Xenopus tropicalis: one gene and its partners. The protein of the gene in region 2 interacts with the protein of the main gene of each other region in a biochemical or structural test. Links are inferred from orthologs where the notes say so. Each region holds a gene or a part of one and is shown on either strand. Other genes may lie near its edges.

What was found.
Region 1: the proteins of ube2n (region 2) and znrf1 form a complex in vitro, tested with the Homo sapiens proteins (3 studies listed by BioGRID, with this or other methods). The link is inferred for Xenopus tropicalis from reciprocal best matches to the Homo sapiens genes UBE2N and ZNRF1.
Region 3: the proteins of ube2n (region 2) and trim25 form a complex in vitro, tested with the Homo sapiens proteins (3 studies listed by BioGRID, with this or other methods). The link is inferred for Xenopus tropicalis from reciprocal best matches to the Homo sapiens genes UBE2N and TRIM25.

Annotation. Positions count from the first base shown.
Region 1 is NC_030680.2:74,499,283-74,509,253, reverse strand, and holds part of znrf1 (E3 ubiquitin-protein ligase ZNRF1), read left to right. Parts: intron 1-1,864; coding exon 1,865-1,960; intron 1,961-3,689; coding exon 3,690-3,795; intron 3,796-6,257; coding exon 6,258-6,315; 3' UTR 6,316-6,347; intron 6,348-8,052; 3' UTR 8,053-9,971. UniProt on the Homo sapiens protein: E3 ubiquitin-protein ligase that plays a role in different processes including cell differentiation, receptor recycling or regulation of inflammation. Mediates the ubiquitination of AKT1 and GLUL, thereby playing a role in neuron cells differentiation.
Region 2 is NC_030679.2:56,094,034-56,104,104, reverse strand, and holds the start of ube2n (ubiquitin-conjugating enzyme E2 N), read left to right. Parts: upstream 1-4,837; 5' UTR 4,838-4,855; coding exon 4,856-4,885; intron 4,886-10,071. UniProt on the Homo sapiens protein: The UBE2V1-UBE2N and UBE2V2-UBE2N heterodimers catalyze the synthesis of non-canonical 'Lys-63'-linked polyubiquitin chains. This type of polyubiquitination does not lead to protein degradation by the proteasome.
Region 3 is NC_030686.2:52,264,570-52,274,596, forward strand, and holds the start of trim25 (tripartite motif containing 25), read left to right. Parts: upstream 1-4,666; 5' UTR 4,667-4,922; exon of another isoform or gene 4,923-4,982; intron 4,983-10,027.

The DNA of each region.
Region 1 (9,971 bases), on a different chromosome or scaffold from region 2:
TTTTTTTTTTACCACACACAGCACCTGCAGAGACATGGAGCAGCTGTAGGGAAAAAAAAAGCCATAAAACACCCTGTCCCACTCCCACTCAGGCTGTTGTTATGGGCTGCTGTATGGCGTAGGCCACTTTTTATCTTTCACTCAAAAATTCTTCTTTCCATTGTGTAGTCAGTCATCAGTGTTTAGTTTATTAAATTGTCCTTGTTTGTGCCTATTTATGCTGCTTTATCACTATGCCTCTATCTTGGGCCTTAGCTTGTCTCAGATATTATTGCATTTGCTGGAATCTTTCTTGCGTGATGGTAATTCAGAATAATTTTGGGCCAACCATATTTTTTTTTTGCCTCCAACATTCAGTATAAAATGTAAATAATTAAACCACAAACAATGAAAAATGAAATCCGATTGCAAATTGTCCTAGAATATCATTGTCTACATCATACTAAAAGTAATTTAAAGATGAACCACTCCTTAAATAAACGTCCACAGTTCCATATTTACATGTTTTCTCAGAATTGCTTCTGACACCATTTTAATCAAATAATTCAGAATTTTAAAACCAATTTCCTTTTTCTCTGTAGTAATAAAACAGTACCTTGTAATTGAACCCAACTAAGATATAAATAATCCTTATTGGATGCAAAACAATCCATAGGGTTCAATTAATGTTTTATTGATTCTTTAGTAGACTTAAGTTATAGAGATCCAAATTACGGAAAGACCCCTTATCCGGAATGCCCTTGCTCCCGAGCATTCTGGATAACGGGTCCTTTACCTGTAGTACTAAATGCTACTTTTTGTTTTTCCTTTTATCTTAATATATTCTGTCATGTTTTATGGTGTACTTATTATTTCACTCTACCATTTAAAATGTTGTTATTCTTGAACCAACAAATGTATTTTTTTTAGTTGTAATATTGGTGTGTAGGCAGCCATCTCAGTGCATTGTGCCTGATTCTGAACTTTCAGAAGGAGTAAGTGCTACATGTTAGAACTGCTTTCAGATAACCTATTGTTCCTCCTACTCCCATGTAACTGGAGGGGTCCCAAGCCAGACTTGGATTTCTTACTATTGAGTGCTATTTTGTTATCTGCCACTTTTAGCAATGTAGGTGTGAGGGACTTGCTATCTTGCTACCTTCCCATTGTTCTGCTGATTGGCTTCTGGGGGCGGTGATATCACTCCCAACTTGCAAAGCAGCAGTAAAGACGGACTGTAATTAATCAGAGCACAAGTCACATGGCTGTGGCACACTGGGAAATGAAGAATATGGCTAGTCCCATGGGAAGTTTCAAAATATAGTATAAAAAATGCAAAATTCTGCTGAAGGAAATCTATGCATTTTGAAAAAAAAAAACATATTTTCTCGTGACCGTATTCATTTAATATTGAATGTGTAACTGTAATTATATAGTGATGGTATTGTAGAGGGTATTTGCCCAGGGCCCACCAAGGCCTTAAAACAGCCCTCAATATTAATTAGGCATAACTTGGTTTGCACAGTTCTGAAAAATGAATGTATATTGAAAGAAAATGATCATATTTTCTGGAAATGATGCAGAATTTCAAAAGTGCAAATTAAAGAGTACATTATGTACTACCAATAAAGGACTTTTTAATGTGATGGTGTTACTGACCCTTTCAAGTGTCATCTTTGATGTTTTATCATGTAAACCAGAATTCAACACTTCATAAACTTGCATAATGAATATTTGTTTCCTGCTTAGATACTTATCTCCAGCACTGCTGTTCTGCTTTTTGTAATGTTTCTCTAAAATATTGTAGCAAAAAAGAAAGTGTTTATTTTAAGGCTTGCCGTCCCTTTCAGCATTATCAGGCTTTTTTTTCTGTTTGTGTCTATAGGTTTTCGTTGCCCAATTTGTTCCAAGTCTGTGGCCCCTGATGAGATGGAGATGCACTTTATCATGTGTCTGAGCAAACCTCGACTGTCCTATAATGGTATGTATTGCACCAAGCTTGTGTTGCTAACCTTCACATTAATCTGAAATATTTTTTTTTCTGAAAGCAGTTTCCTCTGTTAAGTCAAGGAAATTGTCATTCAAAGAAATAATAAGTCTATTGTATAGGTTTGTATTCGGATGTATATTTCGCAAAGTCTTAACTGGTTATTCTTCTGATATTTTTTTGAGCTGTAGAAAGTGATGTAATGTTGCCTTGGAAAGCATTTAATGTAATTCCAGCTTGTTTAGGAAGAATAACAGTGTTTTAAAGGAGAAGGGAAGCCATTTTGGCATTTTACTGCCATTCACCACATTAGGGCAAGCTAGAATTCTATATTAATTCTGCAGAAAGCTTCATCGTACCTGAGTAAACAGCCATAGAAGCTCCCTCAATTTGTTTAAGATAGTAGCAGCCATTTTAGTTTGGTCTCTGTAGCTTCCTGCAGCAGCTCTAGCCATTGGTAGCATAGATCACACATTCTGATGGGAGGGGGAGTGAGTTCTTATGGATTCTTATGAGAGTGGGTAGCAGGAGAGAGCTGCACAGACTCTTTTTCTGAGAGAGGAAGTCAGATACCAAAGTACATGTATACACAAAAGTAGAGAAGAAATCCTGTTTCTTTTGATAGAGGACTCTCTGTGCTTGTGGCTGTATTTACATAAACCTTTCTGATAAAGCTTAATTAGTTTTTACCTTTCCTTCTCCTTTAAAGGTAGGTATTGGTATTTTTTTTGGAATTTCTGGTTTTTGGTGAGAAGTTATGTAAATTCTTATCTAAATCATAGAAGCACAATCACTGCTTCTTATGGTAGATTTTAATTTGCGTACAGCATAGAATTGCTTGGTACGCTTTCCTTGCAGGAGGTCTTTTGCTCTATTTGAAGGATGTGACTTACAGAAGAGAAAAGTATAAATAAGGACACTGCCTTTCTGTACATGTTTCTTCTCCATGGTAACAGCTTGAGTTTGACTAAAATAGGGTTTCTATAAGCAAGCAGCACAGATATTTTTTCTAGCATTTGTCTCAATCTACACATTCAAGTGTAGGCTATTCTGTAATTATATTTTGTGCCCTATGCACATTGGCATTTTTAGTAAGGTTCCAGTATGACTGATTGCCCTGCAGTTAGTGGTGATGCTCAGTCAGCTAAAGAATTCCTCCAGGATTTGAATGGGTCCATGCAGTGCAATAAGGTTATTGAAAATAGTTGCTGCATTCAACAAATGTGGACCAACCAAACAGGTCACATAAGAAATCACAAACCCATGCATCTCCATGGAGTGACTTTTATAAATCATGGGGGGTCATTTATAAACACTGGGCAAATTGGCACCTGGGCAGTAACCCATGGCAACCAATCAGTAGTTTTCTTTCATTGTTCGACCTGCAGCTAGCTGAATAATCATATCACAGATATAAAATTGCAAATTTGACCAGTGCTTACAATTAGCCCCCATGTGCCCAGTAGGTTTTAATTTTATATTAGAAGTTGTCTATTTTTTATTAGGAAAAAGCCTGATTTCATTGACTACAAGGGATTATTACAGGCAACTGACAATAAACAAAACAAGCATTTGTTTTTATCTGCATCATATATAACACTTTTATTAGCAGTTTGCTACTGGTGTAATTTTTAGTAACTTCCTTCAACTTGCCATATTGAACTTTCATGTCACTACTGTAGTATGTTCCATGCATTGTAAGCATTGTAATTTCCCTGTGCAGATGATGTGCTCACTAGGGATGCGGGTGAGTGTGTAATCTGCCTGGAAGAACTTTCACAAGGGGATACAATAGCCAGACTGCCCTGTCTGTGCATCTACCACAAAAGGTAATGTATATTTTATGATTTATGTCATGTTTCTACGTGCCAAGTTCAGAATTTATTTATCTCACACACAAGTATGTTCAGTCTGTATTGAAGTCATGTACTGGGGCACAACAAGTATTTTAGTATACCACAGGTTATAAACCCCTACAAGTTGATCTTTTTATTTATTTGTTGATGAATGTTATAGGGTTATGTTTCTTAACATTGATTCAACTCATACAGAAATCTCAATAGCATTACGCGCTCTGTTTTCAATGGCCAAATCCCTATTTGGAATGGGGCAGTTCTGTGAATATCTCTAACAAGTGCCCTATTTTGATTGCCCAGTGTGCAGTGTCCTGAAGACTGCTGCATAGATTGCCTGCCAAAAGTTAGTTAGTGAATATTACAGTATGTTAGGAAAAAAGATAAGAAAGAAATAGTGTGAATCCTGTTTTTCCCCCCCCTATGTTCTGGGATTCTGCCCAACTAGCTTTTTAATGCCTAGCAGTCAACTTGTAGTTTTATTATCTAACACACAAATATTATAGCGTCCTTTTTTTGCTACAATATCTCTACTCCTGGCAACCTTCTCTTCTTTTAGTGCACCTTTTATCCACACTTCATACTGCTGCTGCTAGTTTTTTGGGTTTTTTTTTCTTGTAGATTTTATTTTTGTTTATATCTTGTCAGGTGCTTCCCCTTTAACATGTGTACTTCCTGTTTTGATGGCTTTCATCGTTCTGTATTTTGGTTACTCCCTTTTGGTACAGACACGTTGCAGCGCTTTAGAAATAGTTGCCCTGGTTACTTGGCACATGTCCCACCCTGATGTGCATTGCTGTTACTGTGGTAACCCATGCTTTCAGAATATGTTTCTGCTGACAGCTAGCCAGGGGGCAATTACTGCCCGATGATATTGCTTGTACTTGTGCCTCCCCTGCAGCTGCTAACAAACCAGAACCCTTTGGAAGTCCTTATGTGTCAGGTGTCTACTTGAAACACATTTAATGACTCATCATATGTATAAACCTGTCATAAAAATGGTTATTATACAGCCAATAAATCGTTTTTTGCCAATTAAGGGTGTTACCAAAGCTTGTGCATTTATCCTAGTGTTTGAGAAACAAATTAAGGAAACATAGAGTATTGGGCAATTAGTGATCACTATTAATTATTAGGTTTTATATTTGTAGAACAGGCATATACATCACAAAACTGTTATTATTAAGCTGTTTAATTACTCAGACAATTGGCAAATGTTTTGCCGATTAAGCTTTTTTTTAGGGGTTACTTTTTAAGCAAGCATTCCTGGACCTGTCTGGATTCTGCACCTGTTCAATAAAAGTGCATGGTAGATTTATATTGTTTGTGTAATTATATGCTATCTATATAAAAAAAAAAAGTGTGTGCAGTATATAAAGCCTAATAGGCTGTTCAGGTTACATCTAGGGCTTAGAGAGCCACTTTAACATGCAGGGGCTGTGGCCATGAGAACAACTATTAGAAACATGGAGATGAAGATGGATAAAGCACAGAGAATGCAAAATAGTGGTAAACTGAACTGCCAAATGATATCAAAAGGAGGAAACTGAAGAAACGAGGAAGAATAGAGGGATGGATTAGAGGTTTTCAGTAGTAACTTTGCAGCATGCATGTTGTGTATATAACAAAGTAGTATGCATAAATGTTGCATCCCCTAATTTATTAAAAGGCATAAAGGAGTTCCATACCAAAGCAAATAAGGTACCAGCTCAAGGGTATTTATGCAAGTGGCACAACTCTGAAATTACAGGGTACATTGTCTCTTATAATACATAAAGTTGGGTGATAGTAATTAACATGTATTAACATACTGTATTTGGCACTTCTGTGCAACCATTGGTACAGGTATAAATGATATCAATGGCCACTGAAATCCCCTACGCATTCTTAGTAACCAAATGCTTCTAAAGCCTGTCACTGTACCTGTTAAGTATTAGGGTTGTTATTAGCCCTTCTGTATCCTACTAAACAAGCTGCGCAATTGTACTAAGATTATGCCAAAACAGGGCTGGACACCTGTGCCCATTACTGGTTCTGTTTCACCTGCCCTCTAATGTGTAATTGTTGCCCTTGTTTCTCTTCTTCCTTGGCCCCTATGCATGTGTTCCAGTTTGGCACACTTTAACCATTCTTTCATCAGTCTTTTATTTGTTCTGTGTAACCTTTTCTAATAATGTTCTGTATGCTTTCTTGTATTGCCTATTTTCCCTTTCCCTGTGTTTTTCTTTCTGTGGGGGTTTTGTTTAATTTCCATTCCATGACATCTCTATTCCACATGCTGTTGTTTTTTCCATTCTCTAAATTTACATACTTTTATGTGCATAGTATGTGTTTCCATTCTTAACCGTGATTGTTTTGTTCACGATATCCTACCCTTTTTTTTTTTTTTTTTCCTCACTTCTCCTTAATTTCTCTTGTTCTTCTCCCTACATGTGCAGCTGTATAGATTCCTGGTTTGAGGTGAACAGATGTTGTCCTGAACATCCTTCCGATTGACCTGCAACAATCCAGGCTAAAATTCCCTTAAGGTATGTAAAACCTTTCCTGCTTAAACAATTACACTTAACACTAGAGAGAGAGCTAACAAATTGGTAAATGCGAAAAATCATATTGCACCTTTACATTTTAAACACCCCTTCCTGTGTCATGGGAGTTCTTTAAAAAATCAAAATATAAATTAATTTGTCATTCGACTTTTTGGCTTATTATTGTTTAAGCCCTTCACCATATGGATAGAACTCTCTGTAGTTAATCACAATATTAGAAATACATAAAACCATTGAATGCAGGGTTGCAGTAGGTCTATTGACACCTGAGGCAGCAGGCCTGGTGCCGCTCTCTACCCTTAACTCCAGTGTGTGTAATGGTGGAGTTGGTTTTTGCCATTCATGGTATAAAGTTATATTTTTTAATACTAGCAATTTAATTACTAGACCTTTAAAATATACTTATCTGTATATTTTATGTTGTAGTTTATTGTTAAATTAATTTTGTGAGGTAGCCAGTGACATATTGAGACAATTTGCAATTGGTCTTCATGTGTTATTTTTATTGTGCTTATAATTACTTAGCCCTTTGATCAGCAGCTATGTAGTATGGAATTTTAGCAAATATATGGCTGCTAGGGTCCAAGTTACTCCTGCAATCAAGCAGTGGTTTGAATGAGAGGCTGGAATATGAATAGGAAAGGGTCTGATTAAGCAATAAAAGGCAACAGTAAAATTGCAGTCTCACAGAGCAGTAGTATTTTGGCTGCAGGGATTGGTAACCCCCATTTGATAGCTAGAAAGAGGCAGAAGAGGAATACAAATAGTTAAAAAAAAAAAAAAAAAAAAAAAATGAAGACCAAGTGAAAAGTTGCTAAGAATAGGATGTTCTATAGCATACTAAAAGGTAACTTTAGGTGAACCACTCCTTAAAAAGTTACAGGTACTTTATTTTACTTTCTGTACACAAGTTTCAGAGATTTGTTTGACTAAGCGCATAAGCATTTATTTATTTATAAGTTACTTATGTCTCTTGGGCATTAAATGCACATTTCACAACAAACTGGTTATGCTGAGAAATGATGCTAGCATGTTTCCTGGCATGACCAGTTTGATGTGCAATTTATAGATGTGTTGTTGTGGACACTGATGGAATGCGCAAGCCCAGCAGTGTTGGAATGTGAAGTGTTGTCATATGCAGGAACTCTGTTATCCAGGGAATATGATGTGGTGATGTTCCCAGAAGCACAGAACATTTACATTCGCTTTAGTGTCTTGCATCAAGCAGTGCATCTAAAAATGGGTCATGCCTGCTGTGTATATTTTTTAGCCTGACCTGGTTTTTGTGTTATGACAGATGTGTGTGTATTTTTGCTGTTCTATATCTTCAGTGTGCTGTAGACTAGCAGACCTAATTTTACTACCTTATTAACTACATGTGCAATATTTCATCAGATGTATCCCCTTGACTTAGAATTACTTTACACAGCTTGGCAGTATATCTGCCCTGTGATGGGAAAAAAAATCCTCCCCAGAAGCTGCCCCTTATGCCTGTGACACCAGTTCTTCTATAATCTGCCCCTTAATGGTTTGATTGGTGCTTGCCGAAGAGCAGTGTCACAGAAGAGCACACAAAAAATTATATATATACACTGGATCATTTTCTTTAGTGATGAGGCTGCGGTACGTACTTGGGTTATTTGATCAGAGTTGCCAATTTTACTCACAATTTGCTTTTATTTTTCAGAGCACGGAGTGTCAGCCGCTTTAGGATCACAGAGACTGGATTCTGCGTCCTGCCAGGGTTGTTTGAACTGCTTTTCACACATGTCCCCTTTTTCCCTGCACTCCTTCTGTTTCCCTAAAATGGAGAAATGGGAAACCGCAACACTGAAATATATCCCATAATTCTCTTATAAAGGTGTTGGGGGAAAACAGATTGGGGAGGGGGGAGAACCGTAATGCTGTAGCCAGAAATGGTATGTTTTTAAGCAGCCCCATCAACATTGTTTGACGGCGGTGACATGAGTTCATAGGTGAAATGGATCTCTGCAGCTGTCAAGGGATTTGAACGCAGAGGGTAAAAAGGGAAATGTTTAACCTCTCTGTGTCCCTGGACATAGGATTTGTTGCAGTCTGATGCCATGATAAATGTGTGTAATTTTTTTTTTTGTTCATGGCACTTTGCACTGAACGTTTCTATTTGTTTATGACTGGGAGGAGACTGTGCATATGAGGGCCCTGTAGAGCAGGGCTTCTCATACGGTAGGCTGCAAGTTAATTGTGGGGTTACAATTGAAGGATGGCCAACAATCCCTGTTTTATGAGGTTTGGCTCTCTAAAAAAAAAATTTGAAATATTCTTATTGAACTGGCTTATACCACAGAAGAAGCTGGACAACACTGCATGCTCAATGATAGCAAGGTGATGTGTCTCCTCCAGGGTTATTTCCAGTGCTTCCCAAACAGGCGCCTGTTCATGCTGAGGTGCTACCCTTATAGTTATTACATTTAATGAATTAAGATTTTGCACATTTAAATGACTGGGTAAACTGTGGACAATGCAGATTTGTGTGTGGTGTTTGGAAAGGTGGTGAAATAGAAGAAGAAAAGGTAACCCCCACCATCTCACTCAAGAATTTATTCTGTGACCAAGGTAACCCATCCAGACCTTTCTTGCAGTTCCCAATTAACAGAAGAGGGGAAACCAAATGCGTTCTTTCCAGTACTGTCTTGCTAAGAGCAAGGGTATTAATGGTGAGCTCTGCTTGTTGAGCTGTTTAACTTTCTTTTCATATGACTGTTAGTAACAATGCCATGTTTTGTTATTTTTTTTCTGCTAACTATACAGCGTTGTCAGGGTGCATTCCTAACATAACTGGTTGCCAATAACTAGCTCATGCACGCTGTAGTGTATCAGGATGGCAGGCCCGTTTTATTTCCAGCTTATGTGAGTAAAGGAAAACCTTTATTCTTATGAATGAGAACCAGTGGGAAAAAATTGAGAGCATTTCTCTACATATTTACGTGTTAAGGATAATCTCTTATAGCCCCTAGATGTGAAGGAAGACTTAAAGATCGCTCCAAGGTCTGTCCTGCTTTCTCGTTTTCAGTCTGTATTTACTTCCCCCATATGCTGGAGGAAATAAATCTCTTGATGTGGTCACATGCTGACATACAATACACAGCAGCTTGATGGCAGTTGTGCATGTTATATTTAGGTCGATCCTTTGCCAGCAAGACCATTGGTTGTTTAGGAATAACCTTAAACTTGGCAAGTCTGATAGTTACAGCAAGCAAAGATGAGAGCAATATATTGTAGGCTTGAAGGGTTCTTATGGGCATGGGAATGGCATTTATTTTGTGAATCAGCACTTTTAATCAGAACCATTTATTTAGTAATTTATTACCCTAAATTGTGCCAAATATTTCAAATGAGTTGAGTGAGACAAAAGTGTAATATTCAACTTTCCCGAAATGCACTTCACTGCAATCTGCATCATTGCTTTCAGGCCTAAACTTTTATATGGGCATTACCCCCTACAGTGCCAGGAAGTGGGGTTACCTTATTGTGCTTTTTCTACAATGTTTCCTCAGAATCATCAATTATACTCATTTCAAAATTGGTGACCCCGAGATAATGCAGGTTGGAATTTAGTTGTGCTTC
Region 2 (10,071 bases):
TCCATTGACTCCATTTTAATCAAATAATTCACATTTTTAAAAATGATTTCCTATTTGTCTGTAATAATATAACAATCCTGTTATGTTAATTCAATGTTTAAGTGATTTTTAGTAGCTTTAAGGTACAAAGATACAAATTACGGAAAGATCCCTTATCCGGGAAAACCCTTGGGCCCCCCAAGTATTGTGGATAATGGGTCCTATACCTGTACTTTTATTAGCATAGATTGTACTGTTTTCCTCCACAGCTTCTGACTGTATGTATTTGTCCACATCAAAGCCTGCCGTGCCTGGTCCTTTGTAAACTATGTCTGGCTATTAGTCAAGTTTTCCCTTTGCATATGCATCTGTGATGGAACATCTGTTGTTTTGAACACAATCTTTGAATATTGCAGTGTCATTTCCAATTTATAAATATCCAAAAGGACAACTGATATCATCCTTGATAGAATGAATTTATAACAAAACATGGGTCCAGGAAATGTGCAATTATCAATACTTTTTTTTTGTACATTTAAAGCAAATATGGCTAGGCCAGTTGTACTTCCTTTATACTTCTCTAATTAGCCTTGAAATGCTTCCTCAGCCCCATTTGTACTTTTGCAATAAAAATTGTTAGTTCATTTACAAAGCACGAGTGCAGTTGTGATTAAGCAAAGTTTGCCACAGTTGTTGCAGCAAGTTCTTGCACTTCCTCATAGATGCTCTCAGCAGCACTGGGTCCATATCTCCTTTTCTTCATGCAGGGTACCCACAGTGAATCTTACCTGTATTGTCTAAATGTATTAGGCGCCTAGTATTAAAAATAAGGAGAGATAAGTATTTTTAAAGGTAGTTTACCTTTAAATTAACATTTACTATGTAATGTCTTATTAGCAACTTTTTAATTTTAATTTGTTTATATTTGCCTTCTTCATTTGCCTCTCTTTTCAGCTCTTAAATAAGGTTCTATAACTCACAACAGTTTATGAATCTCACTGTAAATTACAATTATTACGATTAAACAACATTAAAATGTTAAGATCACATCACTGTCTAATTTAGTTTAATTAAAAAGTACTTCCCATTCCCATAAAAACAAGCAAGGAGTAATACCAAAAACTTTGGAGGGGCCCCTCTGTACTGAGAACATCAATTGTGAACTGGCCAAATGAATGTACATTATGCGCTTGTGTATATTAAAGGCCAGCTTCTTTATGTCACATGATTGTGTGATGTCACAGGATGTGTGCTCCTTTGAAGGGGAACCCTCCCTAGTTCCAAATGTAACTATAGTAACTCCACTTTGCTCCAGATTAACTTCTATAATAACATTCAAGTGCCCATGCATCCAGTTAACCACTGTGTAAAGCACATTATATAACCAAAAAGGTATCCGTGAGGTTGCTATATTTAAAGGAGCATCAATCCACAATAATTAACAAGAATATAAAATAGGTATTCCTTTCAAAAATCTGTAAATGTATTACTAAAATTTATCATATGACTAATACTTATAAAGTACTCAAGATCTCTTAAAGACTGCAGGGAAGCTGCAACAAAACAAAAAAAAATCTTTATGTTTATACGTACAGTATATAACCAATAATGTGCCAAGACTTCCTTAATCATCTCAGTTTTTAACCAGAAGCTTTGCTAGCATTTCGCTGCCCTACTCAAGAAAGAAAAGAGAAATACAAGATACACACAGTGCATGGCTAAGGGCCTATTCCAAAAAAGGTTGAAAATTAAGACTCTTATTTAGTCCACAAGGCGCTTGCGAGGGGATATGATTACTCTGCACAAGTACATTAGAGGGGATTATAGACAGATAGGGGTGTTCTTTTTTTCCCTTTCTATACAGACTTGCTTCAATCAGCCTATCTCCATTTACCTCCAATGTGACATCCAAGAAGTTTAACTTTGTTTGGTCATGTGTATGTGAACTTCAAATGGAAACTGTTTATATTTAAGGCATCCACAAACTCAGTGGGGGACCCTGCTGCACTGTAACAATATCATTAATATATTGATGTAAGACTTGTTCATCCATTTTACTATCCTTTAATAACCACCTTTCCCATGATCCCAAATATAAATTGGCCTAATTAGGGGCACATTTTGCCCCCATCGCCACTCTCTGAGCCTGGAAATAGTATATGCCATTAAAAGCTAAAACATTTTTTTAATTGAACTAAATAAAACAGTGATGTGATCTTAACATTGTGATTTACAGTGAGATTCACAAATTGTCATAAATTTTGTAAGTTATAGTTTCTGGACTTTGGAGATGTTTACTGTTTCTTACTGTGGTTGGGAATGTCCTGCATTAAAATTAGAAGTATATTACTAACCCTTAAATTAGGGTCACTGACCAAGGTATTATCTCAAACTGTCTCAGAATGTCACTGTCTGCATCATACTAAGGGACAGATTCATTCAAATTCAAATTTGTGTAATTTTAATGGATTTTTCTACCATAAAAAAACTCTCAAATTAAAAAAGCACTAATGTTGACTTGATAAATTAACATAAATTGGTGTTTTTGATTCATTTGTAAAATACACGATTTTCAGCACCAAAAAGTATGATTTGTGAAAATGAAAATAAATGCAAACTTTCGTAAATCTGGCTTTACAATGTAATTTAAAGGTGAATTACCACTTAAAGTGAAAATACAACTGTTAGCACACAAATGTAAAATTTAGCTTTTCAGAATCCCCTGCTTTTTTTTTTTTAGGAAGCAGATAAAGGCCCTTTAAAAAAAGGGCAACTAATTTCAACCTGTGTAAAAGCAAGAATGTTTTCATGTTTAAATTGAAATAGGATACAGGTTATAGTTGTCTTTATAAAAAATAAATAAATAAAAAATGAAGTATTTTTCATGTGAGTCATCTTGTGTTATCTATTTGCTTGGACTGCTGCCATACTGGAGGCTTGGACCAACGCCACAGGAACTGAACCAGGGAAAAAAATATGTAGGAAGGTATGTAAATGATTCCCAGACAGATGTGTCTTCAGAAAATGGTCATAAGTCCCTGGTGAAACGCAACCTCAGTAAAGACAGAAACATGCAGATTGTGAGCTCTACAGGGCAGGGACCTTCTTGTTTCTTTGACATTTAAATCTGGGGAATCTTTAATTCAGCTGTACTTTGTATTCATTTGGACCTATTATTGTAATGACTCCCTGTTTATTCTATTTATTTATTGCTGTAGAGTACTGCATACATAAATAGCACTATATAAATAAAATTACACATAAACACAAATACAGGGATAGTGCTCATAATCCATAGACCTTTCTGCCCAGTCCTGATTGCCGCTCAAAGGTACTAAAGAATGACAAGAAACAAAAATTTCTTTGTGAGCATAAAGTCTGAAAAAATATATTATCTCCTTCAGTAGAAATAGGTACAAATGTAGGTCTGTGATGCAAGGTTAGCGATTAAATTCACTAGGGCACGAGTAACAAATTGAGGCCTGCCAAGTGAAATTTTTAGAATGTTTGTATTTATTTCCTGGTATTTATGCACCAACATATTTCTGAGGCACCTTCTGCTTCATTGGATATTAGGGTAGTGGCACACAGGGAGATTTGTTGTCTGTGGCTAACTTTGGCAACAAATCTCCTTAAAATGCTTTCCCACTGGCAATAAAATGAATCTTTGGTGGGAAAGCACACATGGCTTGAGCACTATCTGCAAGGAGTTAGTATGTTCCCAGAGAATGTACCCGCCTTCCAGCCCGCTTCAACATGGCACCCGCAGGGTGGTATTGGGCCTGTAATGATGTCTGATGTGTGTCACACCAAAAACATACAGGCAAGTTAATTGGTTACTCATTTTACTGACCATAATGTGATAGGGACCTTAGACTGTAAGGGCAGTGGCACACAGGGAGATTAGCCGCCTGCAGTTAAAGTCAGATCGCTGGTGGGAAAGCACACACGTCACTTTGTTTTCCAGTCATGCAATGTTTTCTGCACAAGAAACTTTGGCCAATGTAGTGCTGCATATTCCTTTCCACCAATAAGTCACTTTATTGCCAGTGGGAAAGCATTTTAGGGAGTAGGCAGTTAACTTATCTATATGTTTTTGGTGTGTGAGATGGAACTGGACTAGCCAGAGCTACTCCAGACACAGAAAGAACATACCAACTCCTTGCATGCTCAAACTGGTTTTGAATACAGGATCCCAGCACTGCAAGGCAGTCCACTAAGCCACCATGAATTAAGCTTTTGTTGATGCTGGGGTTTCTGCAAAATGTGTAAACAATTTCTGATAGACTGGCTCTATACACTATTACCCCGACTTCTATTCAAGTAGAGTCTTATATTCTGTTACCAAAAGAATCAAAACATTTGCTACCTGCCTAACATTACATTCAGAGGGTGTTAATATGAAGTTGCTTTTTTTTCTGCTAATATAATAGTGAAGTCATATGGTTTTATTCAAGGTGTCCTACTTTCAGGCCTTATAGCATAGTCTGACTCCAGTTTCATTTCTTGTCTCGCCAGCTGTATGGGGTGGGGTGAAGCTGAAACCTCATCATGCTAACACGACTGTTCGTTTCTTACGTCTTGTTGGTTTTCAATGTCTTCTATGCTCGCTACAGGCAGTGCATAGAAGACATACTGAAACACTTAAGCATTGTTCCTTGGGCTAAAATGAACATTCTGACTACACACACCAACAAGCGTGATTACATCATTATACATGAGAGGAATAACGAGTCCCGTTACAACTACATCTCCCATGAGCCTGTGGGCTGTCGCAATGACGTCAGCGGAAGCGGATGCCGCGCTCTCACTTGTGCGTGACAGGGGGATCCGGTGGCACGCAGAGAGTTGGAGGCTGCACGCATTATAAGACAGGATGGCCGGGCTGCCTCGCAGGATAATCAAGGTAATTGGCGGCTTGTAGCTAGTGAAGTAGTAGCGATTGCTTTACGTTATGTCTTGGGCTTAGATCAGCGGCATTGATCCGAATGAATGGAGACAAGGCCCGGGAATGTCCCCGCCCTCCAGCCCGCTTCAACATGGCACCCGCCGGGTGGTACTGGGCCTGTAGTGATGTCTGATGGGGTTGAGGGTCCGGGGTCGCTATGTGTGCGCGCCTTGTATAGGAAACCACCCCAACGGGGATATGGGGACAACGTTATTTTTTGTGCTTGAAGTAAAACCTTGTGCCGACCACACCCACGCCATTTGCTTGTAGTCTGTTAGCGTTAAGGCTACATAAGGGTACAGATATGGGGGGGGGGGTATATAGGAATGAGTTACACTGTAGCACATAGGGTGACTCCCCCAGACACTGCATGCCATTACTAATACGTGTGCTTAGTGTTTAGGAGCTATATCGCATTTTACTGCATCAATTGACGGCAGAGGTGTCGGCAGTAGACCATTTTATATATAGGTAGGCTATTGATTAGTAAGGAGGGTATATTTCATCTTGGCTCACTATTTATTGCACCTCATTTAGTTAAATTGGGAGCCAAATAGTTCTGCTTGTCACTGTACCCCAATGTATTCTACATTTTTACATGGCTGTTGGTTGAGCCATGCTAAGGGGGATTTTACCCTTACTAAATACTAGCGCAGAGCTGCTTCTAGGTAAGTGTTACGTTTTTCTGGGGTATCCAGGTGACTTTGGAACAACTCACGAACCACTAATTAATTTAGGATCCTTTAAGCACCATATTATAATTCGTAATTACTGTTCTTCAGTGGCGTTTTCGGTCAGGTAAAGGTTATGGAGACCCAACCTAAGTAGCGTGGACGGGGATTCATTGTGGTTCCCCAACACCTAGATTAAGAATTCTTATTCTAGGTAAACTACTTAATGACACACAGAGCTACTAGTTGCAGCCACAAAGTACCAGAAAATACCCTTCTATAGATAATACTGAGAATTGTCTCTGCTGAAACACATATTGAGAATATTTACTGTTGTCTATTTTGTAGCCACAACAAGTAGCTCCATCTGTCAATGCTCTAAAGAGGCAACCAGGTTCCCTCTTTTGTGGTGTCTCTGCGTAATGTGCAGTCTCTCAGAAGACCTGTTCTTGTCCCAGCAGCTTGTGATAGGTTATATTTTGCCACAGGATTCACTATTAGCTTTTCAGAACTTCAGCCACAACATTTATTTGTGGAACGCATGGCATATACTTTATTCTGAAGTTGCATCATCCCTTTAAGTCAAATAAAGATACAGTTGAATGTCATATGATGTGAGGCACTGAAGGAAGCAGATATCTGTCCTTTAAATCTTCATGCTAAATGGTTGGGTAACTTAGGTTGATAGTATTGCCATTTACAGTGGTTGGGAAATTGGCCTATGAATATCAATATTGGACTAGGTACTGTGCTGAAGCCCAGATTTTACTTAAATTCTAATTAAATATTTTAAATGTTCATTTTTTGGGATGTCTGCCTCTGCTAAGCTCTATCTGCTTCACTTTTTTATGTGAATCAGTGACAACCATCTTCTATATTGTCAGCAGTGTTTCCACATTTCCTGTCTAAATTATATCATATATTATGCAAGATACTTTTAACCAGTATTTGAACCTTTTTTCCAACCTCACATGTATAATTAAATATTTTTGCTGGACTTCTTACATACATCTGATATACAAAGAAAACATTTCGCAAAATACACGGATGAAATGGAAGAAGTTTGTGGCTGGATGTGATGAGATTGAAAAATATAGCACACTCTTGCTTTCAATATAGTAGCTATTTAAGTGCATCGCTGTAACACATGCAGAAAAACTGGCATATAAACCATGCACCAAAGTGGTATATGTAGTTTAATTCAGCAGGAACAGATCACCAGCACTTCCTGTCATGATTCCAGCTTACACCACTTTAATTTCTAAAGCTAATTGCTGGCAACCTGTCAAAATGCTGCACTGAGTGCTGGGAGAGAGATGTTGGTGATGGTGTAGACAGCATCACTAAATAAAATCAAACGGTTAAAATCATTTGGCTTAAAAAGCCCTTAGATGTTTTGTTTTAATGCATATTATCATTTAATGCATATTTGTTGTAAAAGTTTTTGGTTTGTTTTGCTGTTGCAGTTAAAATGAAACCGTATTTTACATGTAAAATATTTATTTGAAGCTACACAGCAAATCTGAATCTCACTATGGCTTCCTTGGAGTATTTCTAACATACATAAGATAACATGCAGTGAAATAATGTGCCATCAATTGGGTGTTGACCCTTGGCAACAATATAGATATTGCCTGCATGCATTTTATTTTCCATTCAACGTTTATAAATTGTCTAATGCAATTATCATGATCTTCTGATATGTCTAACATAAGAAAGCTTCAGTTTTCTTATTAGCGAATCAAGTGGAAAGTCTGGTTTGATCTTGTCAAGGATCCATGTTTGTTCCTTGCTATCTGTGGTATTCTCAAAAGTTATTACTAACTCGAGTTCAAAGGCATCAGTACATTTACTGGCCTGCTTCTTTATTTTTCAGTTTTATTCACTATTACATACCATTTTTTCATGATATTTCTTGTCCTGATTTCTATTTCAGTTTATAGCTAGTTCACATGATTTTGCTCTTTTTTTTTTAGTTACCCTACCTGCCTACTGAAGATCTTTCCCACAACCATTCCTTATGGGAAAGATTAAGCCTTTTACTGTGTTGAATATTTATAGAACCTGTTGACAAAATGTAAATGCAGTTAGACCAAGTTGCAATTGTTTGATGTGTCAGAGTTGCATATTGATCATAATCCCTCCACTTTCCACTGAGGACATTCTAATTCAGCAGTCTTGATGAGCGAGCTGTGGAGACTGGTATGAACAACACGGTTCTAATATATGTTTGTTTAAAGAAAAAAAAGTGCGTTTAAAAGATTGCTAGGCATTAACCATTTTTCATTTTGAAAACCTATATAATGAAGAGCTCTCTCACTTGGTTAAGAGATTGTAAACCCAAAATTATATTTTGACTAAATAAAATGGCATTTTACTACATTAAGAGTTAAAACCACCCCTGTAGAACTGGAAAGACATGCTGATTTTAAATGCATTTTACATTTACAGATAGCAGAAAAATGTTAATGAATGTAAATTAAAAAGTTGCATAGAATGATATATTCCTGTATTAAGCAAAATTTAGTTTGGGTTTACATCCCCTTAATAGCAAGGGTTATTGAAAAGATCAATCAGTGCGGCTAGCTAGCCTTTATGAAGCTTAGTTTGCATATGCAATTATCAAATATTCCCATGTGACTGAAGGCAAGCAGCTACAAAAGATAAAATTGTATGTTTTTAGTGCTTGCTAAGAGGTTGCTGCTGCTGTCCAACACTAAAGCTGGCCATACAAGCACCGATGATATCATACGAAACCTAGTTTCGTATCTCAATAAACATGCATACAGTTTTCATCCCTGCACCCTCTCTTCCAGCTGTATATCTTAAGGGAGGAAAATTAAGAGGTGAAAAGTGTGCAGTTGAAACCTGTGCTATATATTTAATTTTGCTTGTGAAATTTACTGTTGATATTTACTGATTTTGACTAAGTATTATGGTTGGGCTTGTTTATCATTCTGCTATGAGCCCTATTTATTCTAATGGGAGGAGAGGCATCTTCTTGTCTACTGTACTGGTATGCAGCACTGAGCAAGCTAAATAGTTTTACTTTGGAATTATAGAGAATTGTTGATGTGTGTATAGTGGAAACACTTTCAATGCATAATACACATTAAAAAAGGTTGGTGAGACCAGTAGAGAAGCCCTTGAAATTGCCCTTCATTTATTTGAATGGGAAATGTCTTTTCAGCCTGAAAGCACTCACCAGAGCATCATTGACAAAAAGCATCAGTACTGGCACTGTCAGTAGTTTCCTATTATGTGAATGGAAGGCTGCAGAGAGCAGTTTCAAACACACAACTGGCAGAAATTGCCATGTGTGCCATCTCTGTACCTTTGAAACAGATATTTATTATCATTCATTCAGTTGCTGTTTCTCTAATAATAATACAGTATTTTATAGTTGAGGGTAAGTAAGCTTGCATAAATCCATGTTGGTGGCAAAATAATCTTATACATTTTTATTTTGTATAGACTGTCATTGTGTTTTTATGGTGTGGTTTTGAAAAGTCCCTTGGCATAATTACAGAAACGTAATGATGCAGGGAACCTGCTTATAATGAGGTACCTTGTTCCACATATTCATGCAGTGACACAGAATTGCTGGTTCCATCTTGCTTATTTCATCCACATATGGTAGTTGCATTTTAATCAATACTCATGGAAAGTTAATGGCGTTTTTCAACCAACACCAAATATACACTGTTGTGTAGTGAGAAATGCACATTTTTGACATTTGGCTGACGCAATTGATTCCCCTATGAATGCACAATTACACCAATGAGGGAATTTAAAAAAAAAATACCACATTTATTTTTTTTATTGCCTTTTAAAGCATAGTGCACATTATTGAAAGACCCCTCATTATCTCCAGGTAATTCTGCATAGTAGATCCTATACCTATAGTAGATTCTATTCTAGAATAGGTTAATGTTTTTTTTCCATGGATTATTTTTTCATTTTAAATTACTGTTATGAATTGATAATTTAATAGAAGATTAAAAATACATTAAAAAAATTAGAGCAATTTGCAATAGGAAGGGGCAAATAGTGACTCTTGTTCTGAAACTGCAATATACCTTTATTTTCTTTCATTCATTTGCCACGTTATTTTTGGCCTTGATGGTACTGGGTAAGTGCAGCAGCAGTCCTTCACTAAGGTACCCTTCTCTCTTGTGGAATTTTAGTGTTTGACGTCCCCTTTTGATAAGTCAAAGTGGTTGCTAAATTATTGGCGTCATTCGAGATGCATGCTCTTCAGTTTTTAAAACCTGTTATCTATTAGATATGGATATGAGCTTTTCTACATCCAGGATTTTTTCCAGTTGAGTTAAAGGGTAAGTTTAAAGTAAAGCTCATCACATAATTTTACTATAAATGCAACCTCTTATTACCAGCCCTTTCTTAGCAAAGATCTGTACATGAAAAGATACACCCAGGAACATTTACATACAGTATATAAAATACAAGTAT
Region 3 (10,027 bases), on a different chromosome or scaffold from region 2:
CTTCACCATAGATCCGTTAATTAGGCGGCTTGATGGTGATGCTTTGGCAGGAGTTCCCCTGGCACCCGGGAAAGCCTTGAGGGTCTCTGCCTATGCCGACGATGTCACAGTCATTGTGTCCAGTGGGGAGGAGGCAGATGCTGTGGCATCGATTGTGCAGGACTATTCAGAGGCCTCAGGTTAATTGATTAACAGGAACAAGTGTGAAGCTTTCTGGATGTGGAAGGGAGATCCTGCCTTTGATCTACCGGGTGTCTTCCCTGTGGCCCAATCCAGAATTAAAATCCTTGGAATTGAATTTGGCCAGGGCGATTATGCCATCCCAAATTGGGAGCAAAAGTTGGAAACTGCATCTGTGTTGGTCAACCGTTGGAAAGGGTTAAAGTATACCCTAAGGCAGAGGGTTGATTTGATCAAGACTTATCTGGTCCCAATTTTTCTTTACGTCAGCTATGTGTGCCTTTTGCCTCAGTCTTTTTATGGCAGGATTTGTTGTCTGTTTTTCCTGCTTTTGTGGGGAAACAAAATGAACCTCATCAAAAGGAATGTTACCTACCTGCAAAGGAAGGAAGGGGGCCTTAACATGCTAAACCCGTTGTGTTCTTTGTGAACAACTTTATTAAGTACAACTTCAGCAACCTCCTTCTGGAGAAGCCTCCTTTGTGGGCAGATATCTTCAGGATATGGGTCTCTCCTTTTCTTGGGGAATGGATGAATGGCGGCTTGGTAAAGAGTATGCGAATCCGGCACAGCCCTCTCCCACCTTATGTTGCAGGGGGTCTGAAAGCCATGCGACGATGGTGCATTACTGTGAGTGAAGTGGTTACTGCCCCAGGGCTGCGTAGCAGACAGTATGTGGGGTTACTGCCCCAGGGCTGTGTAGCAGACAGTACGTGGGGTTACTGCCCCAGGGCTGTGTAGCAGACAGTATGTGGGGTTACTGCCCCAGGGCTGTGTAGCAGACAGTACGTGGGGGTTACTGCCCCAGGGCTGTGTAGCAGACAGTATGTGGGGTTACTGCCCCAGGGCTGTGTAGCAGACAGTATGTGGGGTTACTGCCCCAGGGCTGTGTAGCAGACAGTACGTGGGGGTTACTGCCCCAGGGCTGTGTAGCAGACAGTACGTGGGGGTTACTGCCCAGGGCTGTGTAGCAGACAGTATGTGGGGTTACTGCCCCAGGGCTGTGTAGCAGACAGTATGTGGGGTTACTGCCCCAGGGCTGTGTAGCAGACAGTATGTGGGGTTACTGCCCCAGGGCTGTGTAGCAGACAGTACGTGGGGGTTACTGCCCCAGGGCTGTGTAGCAGACAGTATGTGGGGTTACTGCCCCAGGGCTGTGTAGCAGACAGTACGTGGGGGTTACTGCCCCAGGGCTGTGTAGCAGACAGTACGTGGGGGTTACTGCCCCAGGGCTGTGTAGCAGACAGTACGTGGGGGTTACTGCCCCAGGGCTGCGTAGCAGACAGTACGTGGGGGTTACTGCCCCAGGGCTGTGTAGCAGACAGTATGTGGGGTTACTGCCCCAGGGCTGTGTAGCAGACAGTACGTGGGGGTTACTGCCCCAGGGCTGTGTAGCAGACAGTACGTGGGGGTTACTGCCCCAGGGCTGCGTAGCAGACAGTACGTGGGGTTACTGCCCCAGGGCTGCGTAGCAGACAGTACGTGGGGTTACTGCCCCAGGGCTGTGTAGCAAGACAGTATGTGGGGTTACTGCCCCAGGGCTGTGTAGCAGACAGTTGTGGTTACTGCCCAGGGCTGCGTAGCAGACAGTATGTGGGGTTACTGCCCCAGGGCTGTGTAGCAGACAGTACGTGGGGGTTACTGCCCCAGGGCTGTGTAGCAGACAGTATGTGGGGTTACTGCCCCAGGGCTGTGTAGCAGACAGTATGTGGGGTTACTGCCCCAGGGCTGTGTAGCAGACAGTACGTGGGGGTTACTGCCCCAGGGCTGTGTAGCAGACAGTATGTGGGTTACTGCCCCAGGGCTGTGTAGCAGACAGTACGTGGGGGTTACTGCCCCAGGGCTGTGTAGCAGACAGTACGTGGGGGTTACTGCCCAGGGCTGCGTAGCAGACAGTACGTGGGGGTTACTGCCCCAGGGCTGCGTAGCAGACAGTACGTGGGGGTTACTGCCCCAGGGCTGTGTAGCAGACAGTATGTGGGGTTACTGCCCCAGGGCTGTGTAGCAGACAGTACGTGGGGGTTACTGCCCCAGGGCTGTGTAGCAGACAGTACGTGGGGGTTACTGCCCCAGGGCTGTGTAGCAGACAGTACGTGGGGGTTACTGCCCCAGGGCTGCGTAGCAGACAGTATGTGGGGTTACTGCCCCAGGGCTGCGTAGCAGACAGTATGTGGGGTTACTGCCCCAGGGCTGCGTAGCAGACAGTACGTGGGGTTACTGCCCCAGGGCTGCGTAGCAGACAGTACGTGGGGTTACTGCCCCAGGGCTGTGTAGCAGACAGTACGTGGGGTTACTGCCCCAGGGCTGTGTAGCAGACAGTATGTGGGGTTACTGCCCCAGGGCTGCGTAGCAGACAGTATGTGGGGTTACTGCCCCAGGGCTGCGTAGCAGACAGTACGTGGGGTTACTGCCCCAGGGCTGCGTAGCAGACAGTACGTGGGGTTACTGCCCCAGGGCTGTGTAGCAGACAGTACGTGGGGTTACTGCCCCAGGGCTGTGTAGCAGACAGTATGTGGGGTTACTGCCCCAGGGCTGCGTAGCAGACAGTATGTGGGGTTACTGCCCCAGGGCTGTGTAGCAGACAGTATGTGGGGGTTACTGCCCCAGGGCTGTGTAGCAGACAGTACGTGGGGTTACTGCCCCAGGGCTGCGTAGCAGACAGTATGTGGGGTTACTGCCCCAGGGCTGTGTAGCAGACAGTATGTGGGGTTACTGCCCCAGGGCTGTGTAGCAGACAGTATGTGGGGTTACTGCCCCAGGGCTGCGTAGCAGACAGTATGTGGGGGTTACTGCCCCAGGGCTGTGTAGCAGACAGTATGTGGGGGTTATTGCCCCAGGGCTGTGTAGCAGACAGTATGTGGGGGTTACTGCCCCAGGGCTGTGTAGCAGACAGTATGTGGGGGTTACTGCCCCAGGGCTGTGTAGCAGACAGTATGTGGGGTTACTGCCCCAGGGCTGTGTAGCAGACAGTATGTGGGGTTACTGCCCCAGGGCTGTGTAGCAGACAGTATGTGGGGTTACTGCCCCAGGGCTGTGTAGCAGACAGTACGTGGGGGTTACTGCCCCAGGGCTGTGTAGCAGACAGTATGTGGGGTTACTGCCCCAGGGCTGTGTAGCAGACAGTACGTGGGGGTTACTGCCCCAGGGCTGTGTAGCAGACAGTATGTGGGGGTTACTGCCCCAGGGCTGTGTAGCAGACAGTACGTGGGGGTTACTGCCCCAGGGCTGTGTAGCAGACAGTATGTGGGGTTACTGCCCCAGGGCTGTGTAGCAGACAGTATGTGGGGTTACTGCCCCAGGGCTGTGTAGCAGACAGTATGTGGGGTTACTGCCCCAGGGCTGTGTAGCAGACAGTATGTGGGGGTTACTGCCCCAGGGCTGTGTAGCAGACAGTATGTGGGGGTTACTGCCCCAGGGCTGTGTAGCAGACAGTATGTGGGGGTTACTGCCCCAGGGCTGCGTAGCAGACAGTATGTGGGGGTTATTGCCCCAGGGCTGTGTAGCAGACAGTATGTGGGGTTACTGCCCCAGGGCTGTGTAGCAGACAGTATGTGGGGGTTACTGCCCCAGGGCTGCGTAGCAGACAGTATGTGGGGGTTACTGCCCCAGGGCTGCGTAGCAGACAGTATGTGGGGTTACTGCCCCAGGGCTGCGTAGCAGACAGTATGTGGGGGTTATTGCCCCAGGGCTGCGTAGCAGACAGTATGTGGGGTTACTGCCCCAGGGCTGTGTAGCAGACAGTATGTGGGGGTTACTGCCCCAGGGCTGCGTAGCAGACAGTATGTGGGGGTTACTGCCCCAGGGCTGCGTAGCAGACAGTATGTGGGGTTACTGCCCCAGGGCTGCGTAGCAGACAGTATGTGGGGTTACTGCCCCAGGGCTGCGTAGCAGACAGTATGTGGGGTTACTGCCCCAGGGCTGCGTAGCAGACAGTACGTGGGGGTTACTGCCCCAGGGCTGTGTAGCAGACAGTATGTGGGGGTTACTGCCCCAGGGCTGTGTAGCAGACAGTATGTGGGGGTTATTGCCCCAGGGCTGTGTAGCAGACAGTATGTGGGGTTACTGCCCCAGGGCTGTGTAGCAGACAGTATGTGGGGGTTACTGCCCCAGGGCTGTGTAGCAGACAGTATGTGGGGGTTATTGCCCCAGGGCTGCGTAGCAGACAGTACGTGGGGGTTACTGCCCCAGGGCTGCGTAGCAGACAGTATGTGGGGGTTACTGCCCCAGGGCTGTGTAGCAGACGGTATGTGGGGGTTACTGCCCCAGGGCTGCGTAGCAGACAGTACGTGGGGGTTACTGCCCCAGGGCTGTGTAGCAGACAGTATGTGGGGTTACTGCCCCAGGGCTGTGTAGCAGACAGTATGTGGGGTTACTGCCCCAGGGCTGTGTAGCAGACAGTACGTGGGGGTTACTGCCCCAGGGCTGTGTAGGATAGGAGGAGGACATAGGATAACAAAACAAGCACAGGAATCCATTCTAATTAATCCCTTTTTCCTATTCAGATAACTGCCCGCCCCCTGTCCCCCCCTTACAGTATTTACTGCAGGGGCAGGACTACAAGTCCCAGAATGACTCTGTGTTTGCAGTAGGAGGGACAACGTTTGTTGTTGCTCTACACTACCCAGCATGCTTCACTCCAAGCAAACCAGGAAACGAAACCTGCTGTGACTGGGAGGGGTTTCCCCAATATCACATGTCCACCATCAACCAATTAGCTTTCAGTTTCTTCTGTCGCAACTACTGTAAGTCCTACGAGTTCTTCTCATTCTGTGAGTGAGAGGTTGTTCCGTCAGTAAATCCCGGTGAGTATGAGTGTGTGTCCCCCAGTCACTCAGTGAGTATGAGTGTGTGTCCCCCAGTCACTCAGTGAGTATGAGTGTGTGTCCCCCAGTCACTCAGTGAGTATGAGTGTGTGTCCCCCAGTCACTCAGTGAGTATGAGTGTGTGTCCCCCAGTCACTCAGTGAGTATGGGTGTGTGTCCCCCAGTCACTCAGTGAGTATGGGTGTGTGTCCCCCAGTCACTCAGTGAGTATGAGTGTGTGTCCCCCAGTCACTCAGTGAGTATGAGTGTGTGTCCCTCAGTCACTCAGTGAGTATGAGTGTGTGTCCCCCAGTCACTCAGTGAGTATGAGTGTGTGTCCCCCAGTCACTCAGTGAGTATGAGTGTGTGTCCCCCAGTCACTCAGTGAGTATGAGTGTGTGTCCTCCAGTCACTCAGTGAGTATGAGTGTGTGTCCCCCAGTCACTCAGTGAGTATGAGTGTGTGTCCCCCAGTCACTCAGTGAGTATGAGTGTGTGTCCTCCAGTCACTCAGTGAGTATGAGTGTGTGTCCCCCAGTCACTCAGTGAGTATGAGTGTGTGTCCTCCAGTCACTCAGTGAGTATGAGTGTGTGTCCTCCAGTCACTCAGTGAGTATGAGTGTGTGTCCCCCAGTCACTCAGTGAGTATGAGTGTGTGTCCCCCAGTCACTCAGTGAGTATGAGTGTGTGTCCCCCAGTCACTCAGTGAGTATGGGTGTGTGTCCCCCAGTCACTCAGTGAGTATGAGTGTGTGTCCCCCAGTCACTCAGTGAGTATGAGTGTGTGTCCCCCAGTCACTCAGTGAGTATGGGTGTGTGTCCCCCAGTCACTCAGTGAGTATGAGTGTGTGTCCCCCAGTCACTCAGTGAGTATGAGTGTGTGTCCCCCAGTCACTCAGTGAGTATGAGTGTGTGTCCCCCAGTCACTCAGTGAGTATGAGTGTGTGTCCCCCAGTCACTCAGTGAGTATGAGTGTGTGTCCCCCAGTCACTCAGTGAGTATGAGTGTGTGTCCCCCAGTCACTCAGTGAGTATGAGTGTGTGTCCCCAGTCACTCAGTGAGTATGAGTGTGTGTCCCCCAGTCACTCAGTGAGTATGAGTGTGTGTCCCCCAGTCACTCAGTGAGTATGAGTGTGTGTCCCCCAGTCACTCAGTGAGTATGAGTGTGTGTCCCCAGTCACTCAGTGAGTATGAGTGTGTGTCCCCCAGTCACTCAGTGAGTATGAGTGTGTGTCCCCCAGTCACTCAGTGAGTATGAGTGTGTGTCCCCCAGTCACTCAGTGAGTATGAGTGTGTGTCCCCCAGTCACTCAGTGAGTATGAGTGTGTGTCCCCCAGTCACTCAGTGAGTATGAGTGTGTGTCCCCCCAGTCACTCAGTGAGTATGAGTGTGTGTCCCCCAGTCACTCAGTGAGTATGGGTGTGTGTCCCCCAGTCACTCAGTGAGTATGGGTGTGTGTCCCCCAGTCACTCAGTGAGTATGAGTGTGTGTCCCCCTGTCACTCAGTGAGTATGAGTGTGTGTCCCCCAGTCACTCAGTGAGTATGAGTGTGTGTCCCGCAGTCACTCAGTGAGTATGAGTGTGTGTCCCCCAGTCACTCAGTGAGTATGGGCTCTGTCAGCCATTAGTGTGTGTCCCCCAGTCACTCAGTGAGTATGGGCTCTGTCAGCCATTAGTGTGTGTCCCCCAGTCACTCAGTGAGTATGGGCTCTGTCAGCCATTAGTGTGTGTCCCCCAGTCACTCAGTGAGTATGGGCTCTGTCAGCCATTAGTGTGTGTCCCCCAGTCACTCAGTGAGTATGGGCTCTGTCAGCCATTATTGTGTTTCCCCCAGTCACTCAGTGAGTATGGGCTCTGTCAGCCATTAGTGTGTGTCCCCCAGTCACTCAGTGAGTATGGGCTCTGTCAGCCATTAGTGTGTGTCCCCCAGTTACTCAGTGAGTATGGGCTCTGTCAGCCATTAGTGTGTGTCCCCCAGTCACTCAGTGAGTATGGGCTCTGTCAGCCATTAGTGTGTGTCCCCCCCCAGTCACTCAGTGAGTATGGGCTCTGTCAGCCATTAGTGTGTGTGTCCCCCAGTCACTCAGTGAGTATGGGCTCTGTCAGCCATTAGTGTGTGTGTCCCAGTCACTCAGTGAGTATGGGCTCTGTCAGCCATTAGTGTGTGTCCCCCAGTCACTCAGTGAGTATGGGCTCTGTCAGCCATTAGTGTGTGTCCCCCAGTCACTCAGTGAGTATGGGCTCTGTCAGCCATTAGTGTGTGTCCCCCAGTCACTCAGTGAGTATGGGCTCTGTCAGCCATTAGTGTGTGTCCCCCAGTCACTCAGTGAGTATGGGCTCTGTCAGCCATTAGTGTGTGTCCCCCAGTCACTCAGTGAGTATGGGCTCTGTCAGCCATTAGTGTGTGTCCCCCAGTCACTCAGTGAGTATGGGCTCTGTCAGCCATTAGTGTGTGTCCCCCAGTCACTCAGTGAGTATGGGCTCTGTCAGCCATTAGTGTGTGTCCCCCCCAGTCACTCAGTGAGTATGGGCTCTGTCAGCCATTAGTGTGTTTCCCCCAGTCACTCAGTGAGTATGGGCTCTGTCAGCCATTAGTGTGTGTGCCCCAGTCACTCAGTGAGTATGGGCTCTGTCAGCCATTAGTGTGTGTCCCCCCCCAGTCACTCAGTGAGTATGGGCTCTGTCAGCCATTAGTGTGTGTCCCCCCCCAGTCACTCAGTGAGTATGGGCTCTGTCAGCCATTAGTGTGTGTCCCCCAGTCACTCAGTGAGTATGGGCTCTGTCAGCCATTAGTGTGTGTCCCCCAGTCACTCAGTGAGTATGGGCTCTGTCAGCCATTAGTGTGTGTCCCCCAGTCACTCAGTGAGTATGGGCTCTGTCAGCCATTAGTGTGTCCCCCAGTCACTCAGTGAGTATGGGCTCTGTCAGCCATTAGTGTGTGTGTCCCCCAGTCACTCAGTGAGTATGGGCTCTGTCAGCCATTAGTGTGTGTCCCCCAGTCACTCAGTGAGTATGGGCTCTGTCAGCCATTAGTGTGTGTCCCCCAGTCACTCAGTGAGTATGGGCTCTGTCAGCCATTAGTGTGTGTGTCCCCCAGTCACTCAGTGAGTATGGGCTCTGTCAGCCATTAGTGTGTGTCCCCCAGTCACTCAGTGAGTATGGGCTCTGTCAGCCATTAGTGTGTGTCCCCCAGTCACTCAGTGAGTATGGGCTCTGTCAGCCATTAGTGTGTGTGTCCCCCAGTCACTCAGTGAGTATGGGCTCTGTCAGCCATTAGTGTGTGTCCCCCAGTCACTCAGTGAGTATGGGCTCTGTCAGCCATTAGTGTGTGTGTCCCAGTCACTCAGTGAGTATGGGCTCTGTCAGCCATTAGTGTGTGTCCCCCAGTCACTCAGTGAGTATGGGCTCTGTCAGCCATTAGTGTGTGTCCCCCCCCCAGTCACTCAGTGAGTATGGGCTCTGTCAGCCATTAGTGTGTGTCCCCCCAGTCACTCAGTGAGTATGGGCTCTGTCAGCCATTAGTGTGTGTGTCCCCCCCCAGTCACTCAGTGAGTATGGGCTCTGTCAGCCATTAGTGTGTGTCCCCCAGTCACTCAGTGAGTATGGGCTCTGTCAGCCATTAGTGTGTGTCCCCCAGTCACTCAGTGAGTATGGGCTCTGTCAGCCATTAGTGTGTGTCCCCCCCAGTCACTCAGTGAGTATGGGCTCTGTCAGCCATTAGTGTGTGTCCCCCAGTTACTCAGTGAGTATGGGCTCTGTCAGCCATTAGTGTGTGTCCCCCCCAGTTACTCAGTGAGTATGGGCTCTGTCAGCCATTAGTGTGTGTCCCCCAGTCACTCAGTGAGTATGGGCTCTGTCAGCCATTAGTGTGTCCCCCCCAGTCACTCAGTGAGTATGGGCTCTGTCAGCCATTAGTGTGTGTGTCCCCCAGTCACTCAGTGAGTATGGGCTCTGTCAGCCATTAGTGTGTGTCCCCCAGTCACTCAGTGAGTATGGGCTCTGTCAGCCATTAGTGTGTGTCCCCCAGTCACTCAGTGAGTATGGGCTCTGTCAGCCATTAGTGTGTGTCCCCCAGTCACTCAGTGAGTATGGGCTCTGTCAGCCATTAGTGTGTGTCCCCCCCAGTCACTCAGTGAGTATGGGCTCTGTCAGCCATTAGTGTGTGTGCCCCAGTCACTCAGTGAGTATGGGCTCTGTCAGCCATTAGTGTGTGTCCCCCCCCAGTCACTCAGTGAGTATGGGCTCTGTCAGCCATTAGTGTGTGTCCCCCCCCAGTCACTCAGTGAGTATGGGCTCTGTCAGCCATTAGTGTGTGTCCCCCAGTCACTCAGTGAGTATGGGCTCTGTCAGCCATTAGTGTGTGTGTCCCCCCCCAGTCACTCAGTGAGTATGGGCTCTGTCAGCCATTAGTGTGTGTCCCCCAGTCACTCAGTGAGTATGGGCTCTGTCAGCCATTAGTGTGTGTCCCCCAGTCACTCAGTGAGTATGGGCTCTGTCAGCCATTAGTGTGTGTCCCCCCCAGTCACTCAGTGAGTATGGGCTCTGTCAGCCATTAGTGTGTGTCCCCCCCAGTCACTCAGTGAGTATGGGCTCTGTCAGCCATTAGTGTGTGTCCCCCAGTCACTCAGTGAGTATGGGCTCTGTCAGCCATTAGTGTGTCCCCCCCAGTCACTCAGTGAGTATGGGCTCTGTCAGCCATTAGTGTGTGTGTCCCCCAGTCACTCAGTGAGTATGGGCTCTGTCAGCCATTAGTGTGTGTCCCCCAGTCACTCAGTGAGTATGGGCTCTGTCAGCCATTAGTGTGTGTCCCCCAGTCACTCAGTGAGTATGGGCTCTGTCAGCCATTAGTGTGTGTGTCCCCCCAGTCACTCAGTGAGTATGGGCTCTGTCAGCCATTAGTGTGTGTCCCCCAGTCACTCAGTGAGTATGGGCTCTGTCAGCCATTAGTGTGTGTCCCCCAGTCACTCAGTGAGTATGGGCTCTGTCAGCCATTAGTGTGTGTCCCCCCAGTCACTCAGTGAGTATGGGCTCTGTCAGCCATTAGTGT